Linked DNA regions of Drosophila melanogaster. The protein of the gene in region 3 purifies or fractionates together with the protein of the main gene of each other region. This does not show direct contact. Each region holds a gene or a part of one and is shown on either strand. Other genes may lie near its edges.

Region 1 (4,610 bases), on a different chromosome or scaffold from region 3:
CAACACAGAGTTTCTGGCAAAAGTTCCGCGACTAAGTTCGCTTAGGGCATTATGAGAAACGTTGCACCATCCCAGCTTTGTCAGATCAGCTATGTGCTGTGCCTCCAGCTTTTTGATCTGGTTGTGACTTATATCCAAGACCTCCAACTCTCTTAGATTCTTAAATTGGTTTCGTTTCAGATTCTCCAATTGATTTCCATGCAAGTCGAGCGTTTTTAGTTTCCGCAATGGCTGGAAAGTCTCAATAGGCAGATCACTTAGGTTACCATTGGTCACACGTATGATTCCCAGACTATTGGCGATCTCTTGGCCAGCAAATAGATCCTTGGGTAGCTGTTGGAACGCATGGCCATCGATTACGAGTTCCTTAGCTTTTCCTAGAATCTGAAAAAAGAATTTCCCGTTTAGATAACGATGGTATCGGTATATTGTTTAATTCTTACGCCGAATCCTAGTAAACCAACGTGGCTTAGATTTGTGCGAAGTAAATGCAGTTGCTCCAAAGTATTATTTACTCCATAGAAAACATAATCCTCAATGGTGGCCAATGGTGTTTCTTCTATGATCAGCATTCGTGCTTTGATATGAGCAAATAGTGGCCCATATAGACGAACTAGAAAGAGAATTTGATTCTTCAGCTTAACAGACTAAAAGGACGTGTAGAAGTACACACCGAAATGTCCTCTGTAGATGGTCAACTCCTCGATGGGCATACCAAAAGAGGCCAAATTCTGAAGGGCTACGGATAAGGTAGCCAAGTTTGTATTTTCGCACCGAATGTAGAGGCCATTATCGCTGCCCTTCACACATTCGCAGGGGTACAAGGCCTTTGATCTGATTTGAAAAAAAAACACCATATAAGTGAAGAAATATGTAATATACAATATTTGGAATAACTCACTTTTTTGGACACTTGAATTCGGGTTCGCCATACACATATTCCGAACTGGCTAGGGCAATGAAGTGCAGCAAAACGAGAGTGCGCAGGCGTAGCTGAATCATGTTTTAATGATTTCGTCACCGTTTTAATTTAGTTTATCCCATGGCCCAAAACCAAGTTCGCTGCTCAAGTCTTTTGTGTGGGCTTCGATTTCCTGAAACTTATAGTTCTTTGTTTAACGATGTTCCGCTTGAATGAGGTGGGTTTTTTTTTGGGATGTGGAGTAAAGTTAACTTGTCTTATCAACGAACAAAGGTAAATGGTTTCTTCTACTTTTACTTTTCGCTCTGCTGGCGCAACAGGTTTTCATGGGCCGCTCTTGTGCGCTCTTTGTGACCAGCACTTTGGAGCTCTAATTGAATTAATGCCAACTATATTAACTGCTCCCGAAAGTCAGAGCACTGTGAACCACAGTTTCCACTTCGGTTCCCCCATTTATTCCGCGGTTTTAACATATTTTTATTTATTTTACCCTTGGCGCACAATACAATCGATAGATTTCGGGCGAGTTGGCAGCCCCGTTGAACCATCGCTTCAGACAATCGGCATCCCAAATATCGAATCAGCCGCACACGCTAATACAACCCTGTTGTGACATCTCGCTCGTTGGAAAAGCAAAAACCAGGCGCAAAATAAATATAATTTGCTAACGTTACTCTACAATTATCTTTGTACAATCGCACAAGCAAACGTAAGTACCAAAAGACAAACGAACGCAACGAACCAAATGGCCAATTCAAAGCGCGCACTTTTTGGCATTTTGCAATTGAAATGAGTGGGCATTGTTCACGTTGCTCGCCTCGTCGACAGGGAGAAATACTGACTTCGCCCGTTTTAGCCGCCATCGCGACTGCAGCCAATCACGGGCCGCGCTACACACACGCGGCAGAAAATCCGTGTACATACACGTCTGAGCGCTGTGGTATTGGTGGCCGGGGAGAACGCGAGTTACTCGCTGCATAGAGTAGCCCACTATGTGTTTATTGCGCGGCAAAAGTGCGTTAATCGGTTAAAGCCGCTACTTACATTCTGTTCTTTGCATCTCCCCCATCCACAGCTATAAAGCAAGATGAGCTACGCCGCTGATGTGCTGAACTCGGCCCATTTGGAGCTCCATGGTGGTGGCGACGCCGAGTTGCGTCGTCCATTCGATCCCACGGCCCATGATTTGGATGCATCCTTCCGCCTTACACGCTTCGCAGATCTAAAGGGGCGCGGCTGCAAAGTGCCGCAGGATGTGCTCTCCAAGCTGGTGTCCGCCCTGCAGCAGGACTACTCTGCCCAGGACCAGGAACCGCAGTTTCTCAACGTGGCCATTCCCCGCATCGGTATTGGCCTGGACTGCTCCGTCATTCCGCTGCGACACGGCGGACTCTGCCTGGTGCAGACCACCGATTTCTTTTACCCCATTGTCGATGATCCCTACATGATGGGCAAAATTGCGTGCGCCAATGTGCTCAGCGATTTGTATGCCATGGGAGTCACAGATTGCGATAACATGCTGATGCTGTTGGCGGTCAGTACCAAGATGACAGAGAAGGAGCGTGACGTGGTCATTCCGCTGATAATGCGAGGCTTTAAGGACTCCGCTTTGGAGGCAGGCACCACTGTGACTGGAGGCCAGAGCGTGGTCAATCCGTGGTGCACCATTGGTGGGGTTGCCTCGACCATTTGCCAGCCAAATGAGTATATTGTGCCAGATAATGCCGTGGTAGGGGATGTACTGGTGCTAACCAAGCCACTGGGCACCCAAGTGGCCGTGAATGCCCACCAGTGGATTGACCAGCCGGAGCGCTGGAACCGCATTAAGCTGGTGGTGTCCGAAGAAGATGTACGCAAGGCCTACCACCGGGCGATGAACTCTATGGCTCGCCTCAACCGCGTAGCCGCTCGCCTCATGCACAAGTACAATGCCCACGGAGCCACCGATATTACTGGATTCGGACTACTAGGCCACGCTCAAACCCTGGCTGCACATCAGAAAAAGGATGTCTCCTTTGTTATCCACAATCTGCCGGTGATCGCCAAGATGGCTGCAGTGGCCAAAGCCTGCGGCAACATGTTCCAGCTGCTGCAGGGCCACTCGGCGGAGACCTCGGGAGGATTACTGATCTGCCTGCCGCGAGAGCAGGCCGCTGCTTATTGCAAGGACATCGAGAAGCAGGAGGGCTACCAGGCCTGGATCATCGGCATCGTTGAGAAGGGCAATAAGACCGCACGCATCATCGACAAGCCCCGCGTCATTGAGGTGCCCGCCAAGGACTAGGTCTCCATTGCCTGACCATCTGCTATTGTCTACCTTAAGTATCTTAATATTAACGTAACGGCTGCTACATTCAGTTGTAACCGGCATGATCGGTCTTTGTTTTTTATAAAAAAGCTTATCAACTACAGATTCACTGATCATTATAATCTTGGACGTCTCTACTGCAATACGAGTGAATAAAATGAAAACACTTGAATCTTTTGTATCGAGTAATTGGAATGCGGGGCATCTGAATGAGCTTTTTCCAGTCAACTTTGTTATTAAATTACAGCTCACAGTTTGGCAAAAAGTGGAGCATCTTCGGAATCGCATACATTTTGAACAGTTGTGTGTTGAGAATTTAATCGACTTATTTAACCCACTAAATAAGTTGTAGAAGTCACATTTATTTTTGTTTAGTTAGTGCACCTGCGCTTTGAGGCTAAAAACTCAGCTGGTGTAAATTTTAAATTTGCTTGCTGATTTTAGTTTACAGTCGCATGCTTATGAAATCAGCACGCGTTTTGAAAGTCAAATTGTTGGAGGTTTAAGTGAATTTTAATCGTTAAGCTTTGTTTCGCAGTTCAAACTTGGGAGCGGGTTATCAGGAAAGTAATTGTCAAGTACCAAGCCAGCAAAAAGAAGTGTCATGTATCTCATTTAGATACGTGTGCTGATAGTACCTTCAGATAGTTTAAAACATGTTTGAGTACAGGAATATTCTTACTAAAAATATGATCATTTTGAACTGAACTTCATTTGAAAATTAATTGGTTATGATAAGTTTGAGAGTGAATTTCGGAAACATGGACATTTAAAGAGACATTTAAAGGACGTTGATTTGTTGAGGAGAATTTAGCATGGGTTATCAGATACCCTAACCTCCTAACCTCTATTGTTCGATCAATCGGCATTAGTTGCGGAGAGCGAAAAGCTTTGCAAGCTCTAAAAACCAAAACCGAGCGAGAGATGCTCTCGTGCGAACAGGTCTCCGGCAAGTTGCCATCGGATGGGATCGGATCGCACTGGTGGGGATCGGGATCGCTGGTGGCAAGTGCGGATCGTGGGCCTCAGTACCGCCCGAGCTAGCGACGCGTTAAGATCCGCATCCGAATCGTAAACACAACGAGAAACTTACACTGCGCGCACCGTTACACTTTTGTGCTGGGAGCGATCGAACACTAATACACTGACCAACGAATTTCCCGCACAACGAAGAGATTTTCCCTCCCCAATTGAACTGTACTTGGACGTACGTTGCGTTTTTGGAGTTTTGGAAAAGTGCACAGTGAGTGCTGCAAGTATTTGTACATACAGAGCCACATAGCGATACAAACGTCGATAGATAGAAAGATACATATGTAGATAGTGTGTGGGCTGTTGGGGCTCTTTGCTGTTCGGTGTTTGGTGTTTGGAAGACGAGCT
Region 2 (3,961 bases), about 13 Mb from region 3:
TGCGGGGTCGTAATTATAGCGCGGTAGGCAGATTGGCTTTATAATTTTAGAAAACGATATAGGCTTGCGAAGTCGCAACAGGGCAATGTCGTTGTTGTATGTATCGGGGTCAAAGCTCTTGTGCTTTATCACAGCCGTAACCGCACGTTGGATGGCCTGTGACTCCGAGGTGATCTCTTGATCGTGGTCGCCGAATATGACTCTGATTTTGGATTTTCGCAGTTTCTTCACGCAGTGAGCGGCCGATAGAACGTAATCCTTCGTCAGTAAGGATCCTCCGCAATGGAACTTGCCGTCGTACACGATTCGTGCCATCCAAGGATATTGATTAACACCCGTGGGCTTTCCCCCAACAATCCGGATTTCTTCGTTCGAAAAGCCACAATCTGCACGAGTGAAATTTATCACATTAATTTAAATATCAGCAACAAACAACACATGCACATACCACAGTCACAGTTTTTTAGGCTGGAATTTTCGGTATACTCGACCTCGTCTTCGGTATCCGAAAGTCCAAAGGCATTCGATACTCCCGAACTTATGCGAAAAATTGTGTCAAATAGAAATTTACTGGTTCGTTTATTGTGGCCCGTGTGAATTGTGTTAATAGCGTCCGACTCATTGAAACCTTTGGAATATTCCAAGCTTAAGACACTTGAATAGTTCGCCGTCAACATCCAAAAAAAGATTATATACTTTAGGCTCATGTTCACGAATTAGATATCATTGTAACAAATGGGGGGATATGTTTGTGTTTATGGGAAACTTGATCACATCAAACAAACAACGTAACGAGTTCAAAACATTCTTAAACACAACAAAACATTTGCACAACTAATACGTAATACTCAACACAACATTAACAAGGTTTCTGTAGATACGGCTTAAGAATAAATAAGAGTCTGTAACTAATTAATGTAACATAAAATATGTACTAAGTCTGATAGTAATGTAGCGTACGGATCGCTTAGCGCTAATACAAAATGTGAGAGTTAGTCGCAGTGTGGCCACGTACCACTTTCTACCTGTTGACCACTTTCATGGTCAAGATGTGTCAGCTGTTCCACCAGTTTTTTTCACTTTCAGTTTATAAAAATCTACGAAATTATATTTTCAAAATTTTCTAACACGCTTTTTTTTTTGAATTTTTTTGGCTTTGGAAAGACTTTTGAATGGAATAATGCGTTAATTAAAAGACGTTTGTTGTTTTATAACAGTAACATTTTAATACCATATTTATTCTCTAGCTATGCAGATTTTTCGTTCTCCAGTCGAACAAATCATCCACACTGCAATCTTCTTCGCTTGAACTCAATTCCGGATCGACCTCCATCTTGGGGTCTACTCTTCGCTTTTTACTAAGGAGTACTTTTTTCTGATCGTTAATTTTAATAAATCTCTTCCAGTTGTCGATCTGCTCGTCGATCTCCTTGATGTGTCGCTTGAGATTGATGTCCTCCTGCTCGTCGGCCACAATTTCACTGGATTCCGTGTCCGCCCGCTTGATCTCCTGCTGGAATCGCTGCCATTCCTCGTCCTGAAGGCGAGCGGCCTCCGATTTATTGGTCTTATCCTCGTCGAAGAACTTTTCTGGCAGTTTCTCGACAGTAGTTTCATTCTCAGGCTTGCTGCTCGCATTTCCCTGGGCAGTTTTCTCTTGAATGAGGGGAGGATGCTTTTCCTGGCTGCTCTGTGGAGTTTTATCTGGCAGTGTGCTGGAGTTTTTGGCAGGAGCTGAAGTCTTGGTGGACGGACCCGTAGGATCCTTGGGTGCAGTAGTGGTGACGGGTTTCTCCACCTTATTCTGCTTAGCCTGATCGACGTTCAGTTTGTGCTGCTTGGAATTTATATGCACCTTCCAGACGTTGGGTTTGATAGGAATCCTGCAAATAATGCAGGTCAAGATGCCCGAGGAGTCATACGTATAGTTAAGTTCAGTTAAGGAAACCAACTAGCTGGATATTTATTCGAAATTAAAAGTTATATTAGAAAACAACATGTTTTAGTAAACACCGGCTAGAAAGTGTAAACAACAATAGAATTTCAGTGGGTTTTTTGCTTTTGTAAAGGATATTTTGCCAATGGTGAATCCACAGTGACTGCTGGCTTTTTCGAAACGCTGAGTTTCTTTTGAAGGCGTTTTATATTCCCATTATTCATGTTGATTTTCAATATTCTTAGGTTTTTCAGCGGCTTCTGTCAATCATAGGAATTAAACTAGAGATGAGCGCAACGGCGATTATTTTGAACAAGACACAGAACAAATGGAATGGAGAGTTTGCTTATTTTTTTATGCTATGCAAATAAATGGAACAAAAAGTTATTCCAAAAAATTGTTTAGATGTATTTTAAATTATTTTGGAATACAACGAAAACGAGGCAAGTACAAATTTAAAAGCATTCAAAGTTACGTTGCCCTGGTCTTGTTATCGATTGCACTATCGATAGCGTATCTAAAACCGAGTTGGCAGTCTACCCGGCAATTTTTTTAGACTACGTGTCTAAGCGAAGAATGTGTCGTTGCATTTCAGATCGGTTATAATTTTCGAGTTACTGGCTGGAATTGGGACATGAATCGGACGCCGAAGATGCTGAACAGCAAGGTGGCTGGCTACAGCAGCCTAATCACCTTCGCCATCCTGCTAATCGCCTGGCTGGCCGGATTTTCCTCTCGCCTCTTCGCCGTCATCCGTTTCGAGTCGATTATCCATGAGTTTGATCCGTGGTTCAACTACCGGGCCACCGCCTACATGGTGCAGAATGGTTGGTACAACTTCCTCAACTGGTTCGACGAGCGCGCATGGTATCCGCTCGGCAGGATTGTGGGCGGTACCGTCTATCCCGGCCTGATGATTACGTCCGGCGGAATCCATTGGCTGCTGCACGTACTCAACATACCGGTCCATATTCGTGACATCTGCGTGTTCCTGGCGCCGATCTTCAGTGGCCTGACCTCCATCTCCACCTACCTGCTGACCAAGGAGCTGTGGTCCGCGGGCGCCGGCCTCTTCGCCGCCAGCTTCATCGCCATCGTGCCTGGCTACATCAGTAGGTCGGTGGCTGGATCGTACGATAACGAGGGCATTGCCATATTCGCCCTGCAGTTCACCTACTTCCTGTGGGTGCGCTCAGTGAAGACTGGATCCGTGTTCTGGTCGGCCGCAGCCGCTTTGTCCTACTTCTACATGGTGTCCGCCTGGGGTGGCTACGTGTTCATCATCAACCTGATACCCCTGCACGTCTTCGTACTGCTCATTATGGGCAGGTACTCGCCGCGTCTGCTGACCAGCTACAGCACCTTCTACATCCTGGGACTGCTGTTCTCCATGCAGATCCCCTTCGTGGGATTCCAACCGATACGCACCAGTGAACACATGGCTGCGCTGGGAGTGTTTGTGCTCCTTATGGCCGTGGCCACCTTGCGCCATTTGCAGTCCGTGCTGTCGCGCAACGAGTTCCGGAAGCTGTTCATCGTCGGCGGATTGCTGGTGGGCGTTGGCGTCTTTGTGGCCGTCGTGGTGCTCACCATGCTGGGCGTTGTGGCCCCGTGGAGTGGACGCTTCTACTCGCTGTGGGATACTGGCTACGCCAAGATCCACATTCCCATCATTGCATCCGTGTCGGAGCATCAGCCCACCACTTGGTTCTCGTTCTTCTTTGATCTGCACATCCTGGTGTGCGCCTTCCCAGTGGGAGTGTGGTACTGCATCAAGCAGATCAACGACGAGCGCGTTTTCGTGGTGCTGTACGCCATCAGTGCGGTTTACTTCGCTGGTGTGATGGTGCGTTTGATGTTGACCCTCACGCCGGTGGTGTGCATGCTGGCCGGAGTGGCCTTTTCGGGACTGTTGGATGTGTTCCTGCAAGAGGATTCGTCTAAGCGAATGGGCACAGCCATAAGCGCAGCCACCGAAGTGGATGAAGCTGAGGATTCCATTGAGAAGAAGACGCTGTACGACAA
Region 3 (5,199 bases):
ATAAACACAGCATGGTTTCATCTACTCAGCTGCGGGAGCTTCTTCTGCGGGAGCTTCTTCAGCGGGAGGAGCTGCTCCCTCTGTCGGAGCGGGCTCCTCAGCGGGCGGTGGCGGTGCCGCTGCTTCTTCTGGTGGTGGTGGAGGTGCCGGCTCTTCGGCGGCTTCCGGTGCAGCCTCTTCTGCTGGCGGTGGGGCAGCCTCCTCAGCCGGAGCTGGTGCTGCTTCATCAGCAGGCGCCTCTGCTGCAGGAGCTTCCTCCGCTGGCTGAGCTTCCGCAGCCTCTTCATGAGCTTCTGGCTCTGCTATAGCAGTGGCCGAAGTTCTGGCCGTGGCCGGAGCAGTGCCTGGGGCAGATGGCGGCACAGTTCCGGGAGCAGTTGGTAATGGTGTTGGTCCGGCTGTTATCGCAGCAGTTGTCGGTACTGTCGAGAGATTTACGTCGTCATAGCCATCCTTTGCTGTATCCGGTGAAGAGCTAGCATCCACTTCAGTTGGTTCCGTTGGTTCGGCACAGGGGTCTACGATTGGCTTGGTAACCACGCGCTGCAAATTTGGCGTAAAAAATTAAGAAAAACAGTTTAAAATATAAATATATATAATGTAAAATAGTTTTTAACTCTTGTTACATACCAACATAACCTTGCGGAAGAATCTCTGAAGAACGCTCGCTGCCTGTTCCCTGCGCTTTTCCTCCCCGTCGTCCTCTTTTTCCTGTTGGATTTAAGTCATAACCAAGTTTAGGGGCAGACTTTTAGAAGTAGATTCACTTACCGCTGCGCAGACACAAACGCAAACTTCTTGCGGGAACTGGAGGCGAACCCAGTATCCTCGCCAAGCCGCCTGGATCGTGATGGCTGCCTGGTTGCGCATGGCCTCGTTGATACGCTTCAGTTCCCTGTCCCGGAAGTACTGGTAGAGTAGCTCCGTTCCATCGGCTCCACGTTCGGCGGACATATAGGCGTCCACGAAGCGCTTGTAGGCACTCTCGATGGCCGGCCGTGACATGACCAGCTCCTCGTCGGTAAACTTGCACTTCTGCAGCAGCTCCTCTAGGATGTCCACATCCTCGAACTTAATCGCCTGCTTGCCACGCCGCATCTCGCAGCGTCGTTTCTCGAGGAAGTTACGGAAACAGTCCTCTAGAACCTGGCCCATCAACTCGGACTTCTCCTTGGAGAGATCACAGACACAGAGGTCCGATATTATGCTGTCCACCTGGCGCAGAGAGCGATCCAAAATGGTCTTGGCCACTGTAAGAAAATACAGGCGTGCGTAAAGAAAAGTTTGATACTTTCTACATCCTGTGGGAGTACTTACCCATAGCCTTTTCCCTTGTCACGATCACCGAATGTAGATAGTCGATGATGAACTGGCAGAGGCACTCTTTCTTCGGCTGACACCTTAGCACCTCCCGTGTAACATCTGATAGAAGTTCCGGCAGACCCTCTGGAACATTAATCGCCTGCTGGCGCATCTTGCCACGCTGGATCAAGTAATTCATCTTCGTTTTTCAAAAGTATAAAGCAAAATTCTATAATTTTGAACAGTTTAGCTGAGAAGAAGATAATAATTCGGAAATGGTTCAGTTTTGAAATCCCTTTTAACCGGTCTACTACGTTAAGAGCAAATGAAAATAATAATTTACAGCGCTCTACAATGATTTTTACACGGACTGACTGCGAAATACCTTGCTGATGTAAGGTGCTCAGTTCTGTTTACTTAACCTAGATGGCGCTAGCAAAAAGCTGGTTTAAATGTTTAAATGGTGAAAAACAATAATGGGTTATATATTCTCAATTTGATCCATGAGCTTAAATGTTTCAAAAAACTGTCTCACACGTGTTCCTGAAAATTCCCAAAGTCCACTAACTTTGTAATATGTAAGTTGAAAAATTGTAATGTGTACTTGTGTTTCATGTGGGTAAAATGCACCTTGTACCTTTCAATGAAAGTGGGTGTGTATCGGAAATTAGCATTGCCTAATTTCGTATTCAGCCGGTATAGGAAATCAACAGGGTTCTTGGTGGATTCTTCTTTATCGAAATCCATTGAACCGCTTTCCCTTTCTGTTCTTTCAAATGATCTTTAACCCAGAAACTTGGTAATTTCACAAAGTTAGCGCCAAAACAAAATACTTTCGATCATTTTAGGTAGTACTATATAGTTGAAACACTTTATACGAACACAGTGGCGCAGTGGTGACTTCGGCGCTTATCAATACCATTTTTAAATGAAACTTTAAAATTTGTTAAAAACCGATTATAAATTACAAATTTGAAACAACTAAAATGATTTTAGTAATTCTTATACTCAATTAAAATCAATTTAAAAGAACCATTTTACAAAATCGATTAGTAGTTTTTAATAAACGGGACCCCCTTTCAATCTCCTCCCATGAACTTCGCCTCAAAAAGCTGCGTATAAAAGCTGTTTTCCTCGGTTGTATTTCGATCGGCTCGTCGACGAGTGCGAAAAAGCTTTCACTACCTCGATCGCAACCGGCACCACGGGCTTGGGATCAGTTGGCGACGGAATGCAGCAGCTGATCAGAGTGGCGCGGACGTTGGGTGAGGAACTGGGTGATTCCCGGCTGACTGGATGATCGATTTGCCGCCTCCGTCTTTGCAGGTCAACGCTCGAGCGGCGCATGGAGTGCGAGGATAATCGCTGGTGGAAACCGGGGAATCGCATGCCTGGCCGCCCTCTCCGAGACCCACCAGATTCTCCAGAAGACTTGCCGGGAGTTCGCCAATGCGGAACTGGCCCCCAAAGCGCGACACCACGACCGGGAGGAGCTTTATCCGGCGGAACAGGTCCGACGGTTGGGAGAACTCGGTCTCATGTCAGTGACGGTTCGAGAGGAGTATGGTGAGTTCCTATTTCAATTATAATATTTACAATATTTACATAACATAAAATATGTGATGTTTTCATTTTTGAAATGGTATATAAATAGATCATACTACTAGATTCCATTCATTAAATATTGATTTTTCAGGTGGTTCCGGATTGGATTACCAGGCCTACGCGATTGGCATGGAGGAGGTGGCTCGTGGTGACGCCGCCGTGTCCATTGTGATGGGCGTGAATAACCTGTACCTGGGTGCAGTGCAGCAGCATGGAACCGAGCAGCAGAAGCAGGATTTCCTGGTGCCGTACACCCAGGGTGAGCACATCGCCTTCTATGCACTATCGGAACCTGGAAACGGATCGGATGCAGGAGCTGCCAGCACCACGGCCAAGCTGCAAGGGGACAGCTACCAAATAAACGGCACTAAAGCGTGGATATCAAACTCCAAGGAGGCCAGCGGGGGTATCGTCTTTGCCACGGTGGACAAGAGCATGAAACACAAGGGAATCACTGCCTTTCTTACGCCCAAGGATGTTCCAGGACTCTCCATAGCCAAGAAGGAAAGCAAAATGGGCATGCGCGCGACTTCGACTTGCCAGCTGGTGCTGGAGGACGTTCACGTGCCGCGATCCCGGGTCCTTGGAGCTGCCGGTGATGGCTTCAAGATCGCCATGCAGTCCTTGGACTGTGGCAGGATCGGTATAGCCGCCCAGGCCACCGGTATCGCACAAGCTGCCCTGGAACTAGCCGTGGATTATTCGCAGAAGAGGGTGGCCTTCGGAAAGCATCTGGCACGGTTGCAGCTCATCCAGCAGAAGCTGGCCGACATGGCCACGCGGGTGGAGATCTCAAGGCTGCTAACGTGGCGTGCCGCTTGGCTGAAGGATAATGGGCTGCCAATCACAAAGGAGGCGGCCATGGCCAAGCTGCATGCCTCCGAGTCCGCCACCTTTTGTGCCCACCAGTGCATCCAGATCCTGGGTGGGATGGGGTACACCACCGATCTGCCTGCGGAGCTTTACTACCGCAACGCCCGCGTCACAGAGATTTACGAGGGAACCTCGGAGATCCAAAGAATTGTGATCGCCAACGCAGTGCTGCGGGAATTGGGAAAGGAGTGAAAGCCATTGTTGGTTTTTCTTTATTACTGCTGCCAAACCAATCAGAATTCTTGCTTTTACACTTGTTGTGTATGTAAATTAGTTTATCTATGCCAGACAAATGCATTTAATAAAGTATATTTAAACAAATGAAACCTGGATTTAGAAAAATATCTTTTTTCGATTAAATGAGGTAATTCCCCTAACTATAACTCTTTATGTTATATTGAAATGTAACGGCTTGCACATGACAGCATATCTAACATTTTTACCAACAGAGAAATGTAAACTAACATAAATTTAACAGTCATAGACAGTCATGAGAGAAAATATCGATGTTGCCAGTCATCGATACATAATTCGATTTTATTACAGCTGCTCCCTTGTTATTGTTTTCTTAATTTAAATAAAACTAATTTGACGGCTAAATGACGGCCAATTTGTTAAACCTGAACGTGGACACGCTGTTTGAGCAGCACAGCGTGTCCGAGATAGACGAGGTGCACAAAAAGATCCAGTCGGTGGTGGAGAACAAGCGCGAGGAGTTGCGCACTCATGTCGGGTGAGTGATGTGGCACCTTCAGAAGATTTGCTGCTTAAACATTCTAAATCTTTAAGGGAGCGGTACCGAGATCTTTTGCAGGCGGCTGACACCATTGCTGCGATGCAAACGTCGGCCGGGACACTTATGGAGCAAGTGCGACACGTGCAGGCCAATTGCCGCAGTCTAAACGAGCAGCAGCTCCTGGGCTTCCAGTCAACTGCCAATGCAAGTGCTAAAGATGCCGCACTGAAGGAGAGGAACGCCGGAAAAAAGCTGCAGACCTACTACGGCACCATGGCTCAGATTAAGTTGCTTACTGCCCTGCCGGAACTAATCTGGACGCACTTGGACAACGATCGCTTCTATGCCGCTACTGAGTTGTTCATCTTCAGTCGCCACATCAGCACGGGCTTGCAACTGGACGGCCAGAGTGCCCTGATGCAGAAACTACCGGTAGCGCGCAAGCAATGGGAAATCCTGCGTCCCTTTCACGTGACCATCAAACAAGCCATACTGACCGCACTGGAGAGGGAGGAACTCCTACAAGAAATGACTGTGGACTGCCTGCAGAGCCTTCTCTTGCTAGACAAAAGCGATTTGAGTACTGTGCTGAAATCCTTCTTGAACCTGCGCTCCTCAGCCTTTCTGAACTGCCTGCAAAGCGGTCCATCGGAGCCACGTCGCGTCAAGGATCGCATTTTGGC

What was found. The genes of interacting proteins can lie anywhere in the genome.
Region 1: the proteins of CG4860 (region 3) and Sps1 purify together in Drosophila melanogaster (affinity purification with mass spectrometry, with the first as the bait; one large-scale study listed by BioGRID). This does not show direct contact.
Region 2: the proteins of CG4860 (region 3) and CG11839 purify together in Drosophila melanogaster (affinity purification with mass spectrometry, with the first as the bait; one large-scale study listed by BioGRID). This does not show direct contact.

Annotation. Positions count from the first base shown.
Region 1 is NT_033778.4:14,267,562-14,272,171, reverse strand, and holds Sps1 (selenophosphate synthetase 1), read left to right. Parts: upstream 1-1,513; 5' UTR 1,514-2,009; coding exon 2,010-3,206; 3' UTR 3,207-3,400; downstream 3,401-4,610. Other genes in the region: conv (convoluted), read right to left, coding at 1-384, 444-613, 674-834, 902-1,002.
Region 2 is NT_033777.3:25,068,164-25,072,124, reverse strand, and holds CG11839 (uncharacterized protein), read right to left. Parts: upstream 2,199-3,961; 5' UTR 2,161-2,198; coding exon 2,075-2,160; intron 1,923-2,074; coding exon 1,244-1,922; 3' UTR 1,211-1,243; downstream 1-1,210. Other genes in the region: CG11836 (uncharacterized protein), read right to left, coding at 1-386, 449-707; Stt3B (catalytic subunit 3B of the oligosaccharyltransferase complex), read left to right, coding at 2,571-3,961.
Region 3 is NT_033777.3:12,218,785-12,223,983, reverse strand, and holds CG4860 (uncharacterized protein), read left to right. Parts: upstream 1-2,519; 5' UTR 2,520-2,533; coding exon 2,534-2,567; exon of another isoform or gene 2,568-2,628; coding exon 2,629-2,868; exon of another isoform or gene 2,869-2,945; intron 2,946-2,998; coding exon 2,999-3,972; 3' UTR 3,973-4,103; downstream 4,104-5,199. Other genes in the region: Rsbp15 (radial spoke binding protein 15), read right to left, coding at 22-543, 631-711, 772-1,250, 1,318-1,501; Cog1 (component of oligomeric golgi complex 1), read left to right, coding at 4,380-4,513, 4,570-5,199.